Linked DNA regions of Mus musculus. The protein of the gene in region 1 purifies or fractionates together with the protein of each later gene. This does not show direct contact. Links are inferred from orthologs where the notes say so. Each region holds a gene or a part of one and is shown in the gene's direction. Other genes may lie near its edges.

Evidence for each region.
Region 2: the proteins of Srpk3 (region 1) and Ccdc86 purify together in Homo sapiens (affinity purification with mass spectrometry; 3 studies listed by BioGRID and IntAct, with this or other methods). This does not show direct contact. The link is inferred for Mus musculus from reciprocal best matches to the Homo sapiens genes SRPK3 and CCDC86.
Region 3: the proteins of Srpk3 (region 1) and Son purify together in Homo sapiens (affinity purification with mass spectrometry; 3 studies listed by BioGRID and IntAct, with this or other methods). This does not show direct contact. The link is inferred for Mus musculus from reciprocal best matches to the Homo sapiens genes SRPK3 and SON.

Annotation. Positions count from the first base shown.
Region 1 is NC_000086.7:73,772,941-73,777,321, forward strand, and holds the start of Srpk3 (SRSF protein kinase 3), read left to right. Parts: upstream 1-1,510; coding exon 1,511-1,566; intron 1,567-1,643; coding exon 1,644-1,774; intron 1,775-1,952; coding exon 1,953-2,061; intron 2,062-2,163; coding exon 2,164-2,251; intron 2,252-2,537; coding exon 2,538-2,625; intron 2,626-3,079; coding exon 3,080-3,186; intron 3,187-3,257; coding exon 3,258-3,423; intron 3,424-3,520; coding exon 3,521-3,546; intron 3,547-4,026; coding exon of another isoform or gene 4,027-4,029; coding exon 4,030-4,159; intron 4,160-4,247; coding exon 4,248-4,381. UniProt on the Homo sapiens protein: Serine/arginine-rich protein-specific kinase which specifically phosphorylates its substrates at serine residues located in regions rich in arginine/serine dipeptides, known as RS domains.
Region 2 is NC_000085.6:10,946,386-10,950,402, reverse strand, and holds the start of Ccdc86 (coiled-coil domain-containing protein 86), read left to right. Parts: upstream 1-1,136; 5' UTR 1,137-1,169; coding exon 1,170-2,125; intron 2,126-4,017.
Region 3 is NC_000082.6:91,650,822-91,654,402, forward strand, and holds part of Son (protein SON), read left to right. Parts: intron 1-808; coding exon 809-975; exon of another isoform or gene 976-1,238; coding exon of another isoform or gene 1,239-1,595; exon of another isoform or gene 1,596-3,581. Other genes in the region: Gm36712 (host cell factor C1 regulator 1-like protein), read left to right, coding at 1,239-1,595. UniProt on the Homo sapiens protein: RNA-binding protein that acts as a mRNA splicing cofactor by promoting efficient splicing of transcripts that possess weak splice sites.

The DNA of each region.
Region 1 (4,381 bases):
CCACTTTATTCAGAAGTTTCTGGCTAGTCTCCTATCTTCACTTTTGCCCCTTTATTCTCATCTAAAAACAATTAGTCTCTCTCATACTCTCATCTCATTCTGTTTTAATTTTACGTACATGAATGTTTTGCCTGCATGTATGTCTATATACTCCTTGTTGTGTCTGGTGGCCAGGAAGGCCAGAAGAGGGTGTCAATCCTCTGGGAACTAGAGTTGTAGACATGTGAGCTGCCACATGGGTCTTGGGAATTGAACTTGGACAATAGTTGCCAGTATTCTTAACCACTGAGCCATCTCTCCAGGTGGTTTTTATTTTTAAAGATAGGGTTTCATGCATTCCAGGCTGGCCTTAAACTTGCTATGTAGCTGAGCATAACCTGGAACTTCTGAGTACTTCTTGAGTATTGAGAGTACAGGCACATTCCACCACAACTGGTTTATTAAGTACTAGGCATCACCTTACCAACTTTAGAAAGCCCAAAAGAGCAAAAGTACTTGTCTACTTTTCTGGAACTCTCTCTCCAGTGACACCCATAGACTCCAGATAGGGTCTCAGTTGTTTTCCCAGGTCCTAGTATTCTGTAGCATGCTGGCACAGTATATCCTGAGTGCTTCTGGGGACTTAATGCTTTCTGGTCACTCAAGATGCACAGGATCCCTCAGTTACCAACTAGCTCATGGGCAATAACTGTGTGTTTTTTCTTCTCCTGGTGGACATGGCAGAGTTGGCCTAAATGGGAACCTGCAAATGTTGATGGGGACAGCAAGGCAGAAGTGGTCAGCTCTAGAGCTAGGGTGTGTTATGTAAATCTGATGAGCCTTTTGCCTCTAATGGGAGGAATGAGTTGCCTTTAACTCTTGCCTTTGACCCCTGCTCAGCCACATAGAGGGGAGGTCTGGGCTCCCACCTGCCTAGGGGGTGCGTCTATGAGTTACAAAAGAGCTGGGATCAGGGTTGAGATTGAGCAGAGCATGGGGTTTAGGTGGGATTGGTGGGGGTCACCTCTAAAAGGACACTTATATGGGTTAAGTGGGAAGTTCCAGAATGCATCAAGTACCCTGCAACATTTGGAGAGAGCTCAGCCAAAGGACCTGGTCATCATATCAACTTCATTCTTTCATAGGAGCCTCCCCTCCCTACAACCTTAGAGTACAGGAACTCCAGACTGCTCCATCTCCATGCAGAGGTCTTCCTTGGCTAGTCCTACACTGTGGGGAATCAGCCTAGGGACAGAGTTGCTATCATAACCCCAGCTTGATGGCTCCCTCTGTCTCTAGAGTGTGGGTGAAAACAGAGCAGGGGTGTTTGGCTTAGGGGCTGGACTCTCCAGGCTGCCATCAGTGCACTACCCCCTCCCTGTTCTGCATACCTTGCCCACAGCTGAGCAGCTGGGAGGCTATTTATAAAGGCGAGTGAGATCAGCGGCAGAAGCTATAAATGCACTGGCCACGGCTGGGCCCCACAGGAACAGCGGTCCAGTGCACCAGAGCTTTGGGCTGCGACATCAGGATGAGTGCCAATGCCGGTGGTAGTGGTAGTGTGGATTGTGGCGGCAGCAGCAGCAGGTATGACCAGGCTGGGGAGACTGGGGTCCCCTGCTCCCTGTGAGCTCACTGTCTGCATCCTCCTCCTTCACCCACAGCTCTCAGACTTCCTGTGGGCCTGAGTCCTCAGGCTCTGAATTAACTCCAGCCACACCAGCACCTCGTTTGCTGCAGGGACTCCTGGGCTCTGATGATGAGGAACAGGAAGACCCTAAGGACTATTGCAAGGGTAAGGCCTGGCCCTGGCTGCATGTGGCCAGCCGGATTGCCACTGCAAGGGCTCAGGACAGCTTGAGAGTAAAAAGTTGCCAAGACTAGGCCCACGTGAGATAGATGACCAGCAGGACATTGATATTGAGGTATAAGGGAGAGATGCCCTACTCTGATCTTTTGGTTCCCTTCTGCAGGTGGTTACTACCCAGTGAAGATCGGTGATTTGTTCAATGGGCGGTACCATGTGGTGCGAAAGCTAGGCTGGGGCCATTTCTCTACAGTCTGGCTCTGCTGGGATATTCAGTGAGTAGCTGGGATCTGCCTATGGGTTTGGTTAAGACCACCACCGTGAGAACATGTGACTCTGGCAAGGTCTGGCAGCCTATGAGGGTCTCCATATTACAGGCGCAAGCGCTTTGTGGCCCTGAAAGTGGTGAAGAGTGCAGGACATTACACTGAGACAGCCGTGGATGAGATCAAGCTCCTGAAATGTGTAAGGCACCTCCCCTACTGCTCCCAGCCCCTTGAACTGCCTTGGGCCTGGCAATGTGAATGCAGGGCCTGCTGGGGCTCTACAGAGTGGGGCGGGGCTCCCAGAGGGGACAGGCTCCAGCTGACTCTGCCAAGTAAAAGGACCCGGAGAGCAGAGGCAGCTGGCTTTCTTCAAGTGGGCCCCAGCTGGACTGGGAAAGGGGGATAGAAGTGCTTCAGGGGATATGAGCAGAGCAGTGTTGAGGAGCAGGTTGGAGTCATCTGTGGCTCCTTGCCTTTTGTTTCAGGTCAGGGACAGTGACCCTAGTGACCCCAAAAGGGAGACCATTGTTCAACTTATCGATGACTTCAGGATCTCAGGAGTAAATGGAGTCCGTATCCTTTGCAGAACGAGCAATATGGCAGTCAAAGATCCACATTGCATCATGGGATTTAGCCCTTGCGGGAAGAGCCTATAAAACAACTTCATCCCTTTGGGCACTTGTGTTTCTGAGTAGGGGGAACACAGGTAATTAGGTTGACTGTGATTATCTGCTGAGTGACTCCCAAATATAAAAGGCTACTTTTGAGGCCTACTTGGGCAGAAGAGTAAAGCTGGAGTGAGATATCTGTAGGATGACAAGAGGTACCATCTCGACTGGCATATCCGTGACAGTGACAGAAACATTCTAAATAATAAACTTGGTCAGTGGTGGCCACCAGGATGGTCAAGGGAAAGCCCTACTTCCCTAACCTCTGCATTTCTGGAGTCTAAGTGCTCCTCCATGATGGAGGGTAGGTAAGCCTGTGCCTTAGCTGTGTTGTTGACTGCCCTTCACTCCAGGTCCAGATGTATGCATGGTGCTAGAGGTCCTGGGCCACCAGCTCCTCAAGTGGATCATCAAATCCAACTACCAGGGTCTGCCTGTGCCCTGTGTTAAGAGCATTGTTAGACAGGTAGGTGCTGCCCCTACACTGCTCAGGTTGGCTAGGCCTGGCTGCTGGGATTCAGCTGTAGCTTTTGCCAGGTGCTGCATGGTCTGGATTACCTCCATACTAAGTGCAAGATCATCCATACGGACATCAAGCCTGAGAACATCTTACTGTGTGTTGGAGATGCCTACATCAGGCGCCTGGCTGCTGAAGCCACAGAGTGGCAGCAGTCAGGGGCCCAGCCCCCATCCCGTTCCACAGGTACCAAGAGCATGTGTGGGGACTGATACCAGGACTCTGGACCTCAATCTCTACCTGAATTACTGTTCTTTTTTCTCTCCCTACCCCTTACATCCAGTCAGCACTGCCCCCCAGGAGGTCTTGGTAAGTTGTGGTACCCCCTCTTTCCCTGTCTCCTCTTCCAATACAAGCTAGATGAGGCCATGTCCTCAGAGCTTGGATCCTCAGCCATACCTGTTCTACCTTTTGAACTTCTAAAAAGCTGAGTACCTGAGAAGAGAGTGATTAGACAGAGTGGATCATGTGCTCCAAGCTGCCTCTGGTCGCCAATGAGCCCAGCACTACCTCAATGGAAGGATACTGTGATACCCCACATGGCTACTTCAGGCAGCTTCATCTAGGTCTGGGAGTAGACAAGGAACAGTGTAGAGCAGGCCCACTAGGTTCTCCCCAAAGCACAAGGTAGGAGGGGGATAGGAGGAGAGGCAGAGAAATGGGTCAGGGGTTGGGAATAAGGGTGAGACAGAAGATAGCATCCATAGTCTGATACCCATGGGGGTTAGTTCTGGGGTTCAGGGCTGGACAAGAAAACATGGGGAGGGGGTGTGACCCTGACTCTGACAGCAGATTGGCAAGCTGTCCAAAAACAAGAGGAAGAAGATGAGGCGCAAAAGGAAGCAACAGAAGAGGCTGCTGGAGGAGCGGCTGAGGGACTTGCAGAGGCTAGAGGCTATGGAGGCCGCAGTACAAGCTGAGGGTGAGGGGGCAGGGAGAGCACTGAGCCACTAAGCCTGCATGTGGACTGCAGGCTTCTACTCATGTGCTCTTCTGCTCCTTCTCCCTAGACTCCAGCTCAAGACTAGAACGGGGCAGCGGCTCCACCTCTTCTTCAGGCTGCCACCCGGAGGGCACCAGAGCTGGCCCTTCTCCAGCCTCTTCTTCCCCTGTGCCTGGGGGGGAACGAAGCCTTAGTCCCAGC
Region 2 (4,017 bases), on another chromosome or scaffold:
AAAGGCTTTCGACACTGCATCTCTTAGCCTATCAGCCAATCAATCAGACAGAGGACTCCAAAGAAATGAAAATTTCCCCAGAATTCTCATGCTGGGAGAAGAAAAAGGTACCAGCCAGAGGGGAAACTTGTCTCCTGGAAAAAGATTTCAGAGTTCTAAAAGCTTGTCAGACCACCTTACAGGATGAGACTAAAACCCAGATAATAATGGGCCAATGGTGGGCAGAGTCATACCTTGGTAAGGACTACTCAGATGTATTTATCCTTGGCCCTCTATCTAAATTTTTTATCTAAATTTAGAACCCTGAGGTCAAATTTGGGTGATTCACAGAATCTCTTTGCCCCTCTTTCTAGTATGACTACATTGAATAAATCTCCTTTTTCTAAAGATTTCCAGTTTTTAATGTGTCTCTTTCAATTGGCTTATTGAGGATAAGGTAGCTAGACCTGACTTCGGGCACAGGTTGTGAACCCCCAACATTGACAACAAGCAGTCAAGGTTTTCTGGGCCACAGACCTGACACTTTGCTGATTAACTGAAACTGTTCAAAGATGAGAACCACCTATTGCATACTTGGGCCCACTAGTAGAGAAGAGGAAGTGAAAAGAATGGGAACGTTTGAGACAACTCAAAAACTGAAGATTTCCCACTCAGGAAGACCACCAGGACCTTCCCCTTTGTTACACAGCGCAAAGCTACTGTGCTACAAAAGATAAAAGAAAAGGCGATGTTTGCGGGCCCAGCAGTTCCAGAACAAGTTAGCGCGCTGATTCGGCTCTGCCTACAAACTCCCTCCGCCTTTTTCCAACCTCTTCTCTCAAGAAAAAAAAAATTATTTTTATATGTGTGTGTGTGTGTGTGTGTGTGTGTGTGTGTGTGTGTGTGTGTGTGTATGTATAATATACCCCCACCCCATCCCCTTGCAAGAACTCGCAGTTTGCAAAAAACGCATCGCAGAAACCAAGCAACTAAACTCTGTAACTGAGCTCATGCACAACACGCATGCGTCTACTAAGCCCAGCCTCCCGGGACCGACTTCATCCCCGGCTCCGCCTACCCACGGGTCTCTCTACCGCAAGTGCGCTTCCTGCCCGGTACGGAAATGGACGAGTCTGACGTCATATGAAGGCGCCGACAGTTCCGAAGGCTACAGAGGCTACACGTGAGCCATGGATACGCCGCTGAGGCGCAGCCGGCGGCTGGAAGGCCTAAAACCTCTGTCTCCAGAAAACCTTCCTGTCCCCGAAGTCTCTCGGGCGAAACGGGCTCTTGTAGATTTCAAGTCGAACTCAGAAGAAACAGGAGAGCTCAAGTCTACGAGAGTTCCACCACTGAGCCTTCCGTCTCCCGGACCTCAGCCGGAGACGAGCCCCGGATCGCCCTGTCCACCACTGAGCCTTCCGTCTCCCGGACCTCAGCCGGAGACGAGCCCCGGATCGCCCTGTCCACCACTGAGCCTTCCGTCTCCCGGACCTCAGCCGGAGACGAGCCCCGGATCGCCCTGTCCACCACTGAGCCTTCCGTCTCCCGGACCTCAGCCAGAGACGAGCCCCGGATCGCCCTGTCCACCACTGAGCCTTCCGTCTCCCGGACCTCAGCCAGAGGCGAGCCCCGGATCACCCGGTCCTAGACAGGATGCAGACGATGGGTCCCCACAAAGGCAGCCAGAGCCTCACCCCGGGTCCCTTCAACCTCATCAAGATCTGGGCCTGGAGTCACCTGCAGGACAGACAGAGTCGAGCCCGGAATCCCCGCAACGAGAGCAGCCATCCAAATTACCTCCCCCACAGGGAGAACTGGACTCTGAGGCGGCCCACGCTAAAGAGGAGGTGATCCCAGGATCCCCCGAGCCTTGCCCGGGCCAGCAAGCACCGGGTCCCGAGCCCTCTCAGCCAGCACAGGAGCTGACGGTCCAGGCACCTAGCTCCCCAGAGCGCCAGTTGGAGCCAGGCAAGCTGCCTCCGGCGGGAGAGACAGTAACAGAAAGTCTCAACCTAAAGAAGCGAGTTATAGCCTCTCCCCAGGCCCCAGCGTCCAAGAAATTGAAAGAGAAGGAGGAGCTTCCTGTAATTCCGAAAGGGAAGCCCAAATCCGGGCGTGTGTGGAAAGACCGCTCCAAGAAGAGGTAAAGTGGGGGTAGCATGGGTGATGTGTTGGGTTCTTAGTACATTTGGACCTTGCCTTCGCCTGAATGCAATCCAAGGGTTGTAAAGAGTTCACCCGAATGAAATTAACAAACACGATCATAATGTCAAAATGCCCTAAGGTCGGGGAGGGAGATAGATCCTCAAAGATCATTTCTTTAATGTCTGCCCTAGACGGTGTTCTTTTGAGCTTTCTTCCCATCCTTTTTTTATTATGAGGCAGGGTCTCACTGTATAGCACTGGCTGTCCTGAAATTCAGAGATACACCTGCTTCTGCTTCCCTAGTGCTGGGTTTATAGACGTGCCACCTTTACCTTGTCCGCCACATCTCGTGTGGCAGGCAGAGCAAGAAAGGCGGCCATTATATGAACATAGTGAGGTCCTTTCCACTGTTGTCTGCTAGCTGTTGTCTTTGATAAAAAATGTATCATGGGACACTGGTTATGTATCACGGTAAGGATGGCCAAAGAGAGAGGCTTTCATAGCCAGCAGCACATGTAATCATCTACCCTTTGGAGCAGGTGTTACTAGGATTGGTGTTGTACATCTGAGGAAGCCAAGGCTCAAGGAGGCTAACTGAGACACGGGATGGGAGCATAGGTTTGATTGCAAAGCGTGTGAGTGAACCCGTTAACCTGCTTCTGGTGGCCAGCTTCCCTTGGGTTCCAGCCTTCTTAAGACATGAGGTCTTCCCTGTCCCTTCAGTGCTGGGGCATGGGAGTGCTCAGTTTAGATTTCTCAGTAAAGGAATGAGGAAGGAGGCTCATGTGGAAAGGACATTGTTTAGGCAGCAGGGGAAGAGAAGTGGCATTCAGTTGAAATGTCCACTGTTGTGACATGGATGGAGACAGTGTCTGTGACAATGTCTGGAGACATTGTGACAGTGTCTGGAGAAGGAGAAGTAGGGTTCAGTTGAAGTGTCAGCTACTGGCCAGAGACAAGAACTCGTAAGAGTAAGGGAGCAGGGCATCAGAGATTTTAAGAAAATGACGTTGAATAAGGGTGGACCGTGCGAGGCTCCGTGCAGGCTCTTTACAGAAGTCATTTTGTTATACTCTTAAATCCTAAGCGCAGGGGATAACCCCTCCCGCAAGCACACCCCATTAAACAGAGGAAAGTGAGGCTTAAAGAGAAAGGCACCAAGCGGAGAAACTTTGAAGCTGTTCCTTTTCCCTGTCCGAGCAAACCACAATACAGGCCACTGATGGCCACGGGTGACCAGCCAGACGGGCTCGCACACAGAAGGGCGCGGTGGCTGAGAGGCTTCCTTGCACAGGCTCGCATAGGCAGTGAGTAATGGGCTCGGAGCCTGTCTTCCATCTCCAGTAACTAGTGCTGAACATCAACTCTGCCTCAGTACTGCAGTCACGAGCCACATTTTTAAGAGTAGAAAGGAAGTCCACAAGGCACCACTGCTCTGTGTTTAGGAAGCTGGGTCTTGAGCCAGCTGGCGAACTTGGCAGGAGAGGAGCATGTTTGTATCACTATTGAACCTTACAGTGGGAAGGGGACAGAAACAGGATGCCTATGGATAAGCCTGGTGCCAGGTTCCAAACTGTGTGTGCCAGACTCCTAGGAAGGAAGCAGGTGGCTCAGAAAGGCCGTATTGACCTTTGTCTGGTCAGCAACAGACTGCCCAGCATGCACCAAGCCTTTAGACACAGGGTTGGCTTGAGCTACCCTATAACAGGCAGGTAAAAAGGAACTCCTACAGGAGTCAAGGTTTTAGTGTAGGAAGCAGAAGGGCCACTGTGAACGGATCTGCTGAGGAGCCTTAGAGTTCTAGGGATAAGATGGGGGAGAAAACAGGCCCATGGGACACCCAGCACACTCAGCAAGGAGTAGGAGAGAGACCAGACATGAAGGCTTGTC
Region 3 (3,581 bases), on another chromosome or scaffold:
AGTACAAGTTTTTTTTTTTTGTTTGTTTGTTTGTTTTTTGGTTTTTTGAGACAGGGTTTCTCTGCATAGCCCTGGCTGTCCTGGAACTCACTTTGTAGACCAGGCTGGCCTTGAACTCTGGAATCCGCTTGCCTCTGCCTCCCTAGTGCTGGGATTAAAGGCGTGCACCACCACGCCCGGCACATGGTTTTCTTTTTAAAATTTACAGCATTTCAGTTACAGTCTGAATATGAAGAGGCTACAAGCAGCCCTTTACACAGTGTTTGCCTGGATGGTTTGTGATCAGTGCACAGTGTGGCTTTCTACCATAATGCTTGGTCGTCTGTTTTTCTTTGTGAATGTGAATTAGCTCATTGTTACTTAGGTAACTGGAAGCTTTAAGTTGTTTTAATCATAACAATTATATTTTTTTCTTTTTCTTTCTTTATTTTTTTGGGGGTGGATGGGGGACGGGTTTTCTGTGTTGTCCTGGAACTTTCAATGTAAACCAGGCTGGTCTTCAACTCAACAGGGATCCTCCTGCCTCTGCCTCCTGAGTGCTGAGGGAGGGCTGGGATTAAAGGCCACCACTTGTAGCTTATCTTATTTTGAAAACACAGTTGGACGTCTGATTTTAAAAGTTCTTTAACTGTCTTAGTTCTTGAAACTTTATGTACTAATGGCAAACATCTGAAATAGAAAATCTTGAGGCTTATGGGTAGCATAATATAATGTAAGATCATGTTAATTACGTTATTAATGTCGAATTACCGATTTATTATAGTATGATGGAAGTATTAATGAACTTTGAAATGTTTTTCTTGTCAAGTGGAAGGAGTGAAGGCCAGCTGAATGGTGAAACAAATCCACCCATTGAAGGGAACCAGGCAGGTGACACAGCTGCCTCTGCAAGGAGTCTCCCAAATGAAGAAATAGTGCAGAAGATAGAGGAGGTCCTCTCTGGGGTCTTAGATACGGAGCTGCGGTACAAGCCCGGTAAGCTGACGCTCACTGTCAGTTTCAAAAATCTTTTGAAAAATTTGAATGTTAATTGCACTATTTTTAGGTTATTTTTTTCATAGTGTCTTTGAAAATAGTCTACTCAAACAGGGGCATTGAAGTTCTTGTTTCACTGGTAAAATAAGATTTTTCTTTTTATTTAATTCAATTTTGTTGTAACTCAATGTCAGGATTTTTCTGTGTATTTTCTTTGAAGGGTTGTGTAAATAACTCGTTTAAAAGTAGCTCTTGGAGCCATAATGATCCTGCAACAGCCCCTGGAGCAAGGTCCCCCAAATCGGGACCCACGGGCCACCACTGGGGTGACTCGTGGACTGGACGCCAGGGAACCTTTGCACAGGCAGTTCCTGTCTGAGGAGAACATGGCCACCCATTTCTTCCAACTCAGCCTACGTAATTACCACCACTACTGCAGCCCCCCTGTGACTTTTTCCGAAGCCCTGCCACCACTCAGGAGCCCTTGCCCAGAGCCACTTCTCTGGCGCTATACCAGGAGCCTGATTCCTGAAGCCCTCAGGCTGCTGAGGCTGGGGTATACCCCTAGTCCCTACTACCCTGCATCCCCAGCTGGGATATCATGGGGGTCTGGGTGTTGATGGCCTGTGTCCCTCCCCATCTTCTTCCTGACATCAAACACCAGCAACTCCTAGAGAGGGATGAAGTCCTTCTCCAAACCAGGTGCCTGGCCACCAGGACCTTCCCCCTGACAGGAGGACACTAGCTTGGTGGAACCCTCAGTGAGAGACAGCTTGGGACCCCATTAGTGATAAAGACCTGTGAGCAGTTAAAAAAAAAAAAAAAGTAGCTCTTGGTGTGTTTTTCCTCCCTTAATTTTTGTTTGGTACATTTGGGTGTTTGCGTGTACTGAGCCACACATGTGTGGTTGGGGCTGAGGAAAGCAAGAGGAGGAAAGTCTTGGGTCCCCCAGACTTGGAGGATGGGCAGCTGTAAGAACAGTGTAAGCTCTTCAGCAGATTGTTCTAGCTCTGAAGTGTCAATTTTATAAGCTGCAATATCCTGAACTAAATCTCTACTGGTTTTAAACCACATTACATTTTGTTTTAAAGCCCATGCTTAAAAGTTGACTTGTTTGTACAAAGCAGGTTGAGGCACTTTCGTTGTATACAATTTCTTTTTTGGAATTGATTAAATAATGGGTGATTAAAAATGAAGAATCTGTGGTTAATCACAAGACTAAATTATTAAGTATAGGAGTTAGGTATATAGTATGGTTCATAAGACAGTTTAAAATAACAACTAGTCTGGCTTAGATCATGTCTGGTTAGGTATAAACTACCTTTTCATGCTGTGAAATAAGCATTAAAAATTGATTGATTTTCTTTTGGTATGATGCCATGTTGGTGTTGGTGTTTTTTCTCTATAGTAGGAATCACTGGTATATTTGACTAGCCATTTCCTTAAGATTTATCTTATTTATAATCTATAGGGTAAATTTTACTGTGCGGTTTTAAGATAGTGTAAACTGTCTTATTTGTAATAGGCAAGTTGAAATGTTAGGTCTGTATTCAAGAATAAAGTGTTTAGGGAAACGTGGTTTTATCAGAATATGACAGTTTTAAAAAGTGAGCTCTGTAGTTGCGTTGGTGTATTTGTTCAGGCGTTCTTGTTTAGAAGGATTCACTTGGATTGTGTTGAAAATGTCCATGTAGTAAATAAGCACATTCCTTGTACTTGGTAGACTTTTTGTTGTTCTGTCTTCCTGGAGATCAAACCCAGGGACTGTACAGTGTGTCAGTAATTTGACAAGGCCCTTCCTCTACCATGTGATGGGTTAGTTTAGACATTCTGTTGCAGAATGAGTGCCATATCCTTTCCTGTGTAACGGAATGAATAAAATTAGAAGTTAACTCAGAACATTTTCTGTCATCTAGGACTTTATTGACAGTCTTTGTGCATTCTTGGACATTAATCTTACTAGCTCTGTATTGAGGGTTTTTTTTTTTTTAAGTAGGAATTGAAATAAAATATGAAGTAAATTTATTGATGTAGTTTTAAAATAACTTACTATAGTTTGAGAACAAAGGTTTTTTTTGGGGGGGGGGTTGCTTTTTTGAAACAGGGCCTCACTTTTCAGTTCTGACTGGCCTGAAACTCACAGACCTGCCAGCTTCTGCCTTCAGAATGCTAGATTAAAAGTGTGTGCCGTAATACCCAGCCTAAGAAAAGAATACTTTAAAAATACTATTGCTTTTGTGACCACATGTGGGTAGGTAGATACTGCATCTACACACACACACACACACACACACACTCACTCACTCACTCACTCACTGTGTGTGTGCTGCCTCATTTGTGGAAGTCAGAGGTGGTTTTCTTGTACCATGTGGGTCGGGCAGTTGCACTGAGATGATCAGGCTTTGCTGTGAGTGTCTTTACTCCCTGAGGCATCTCACTGCTCCCGAGGAGAAAAAACTTTAGATTTTAATGGAACAGCTTTTTCTTTTCCATCTGCCAGGGGTAAAAATAGAAGTCGGGTCTCCGCACAGGCTAAGCAAACACTCCGCCATTGAGCTGTATCCCACCTTAAAACATAATTAAATTACTTCTAAATGGGTTTTTGT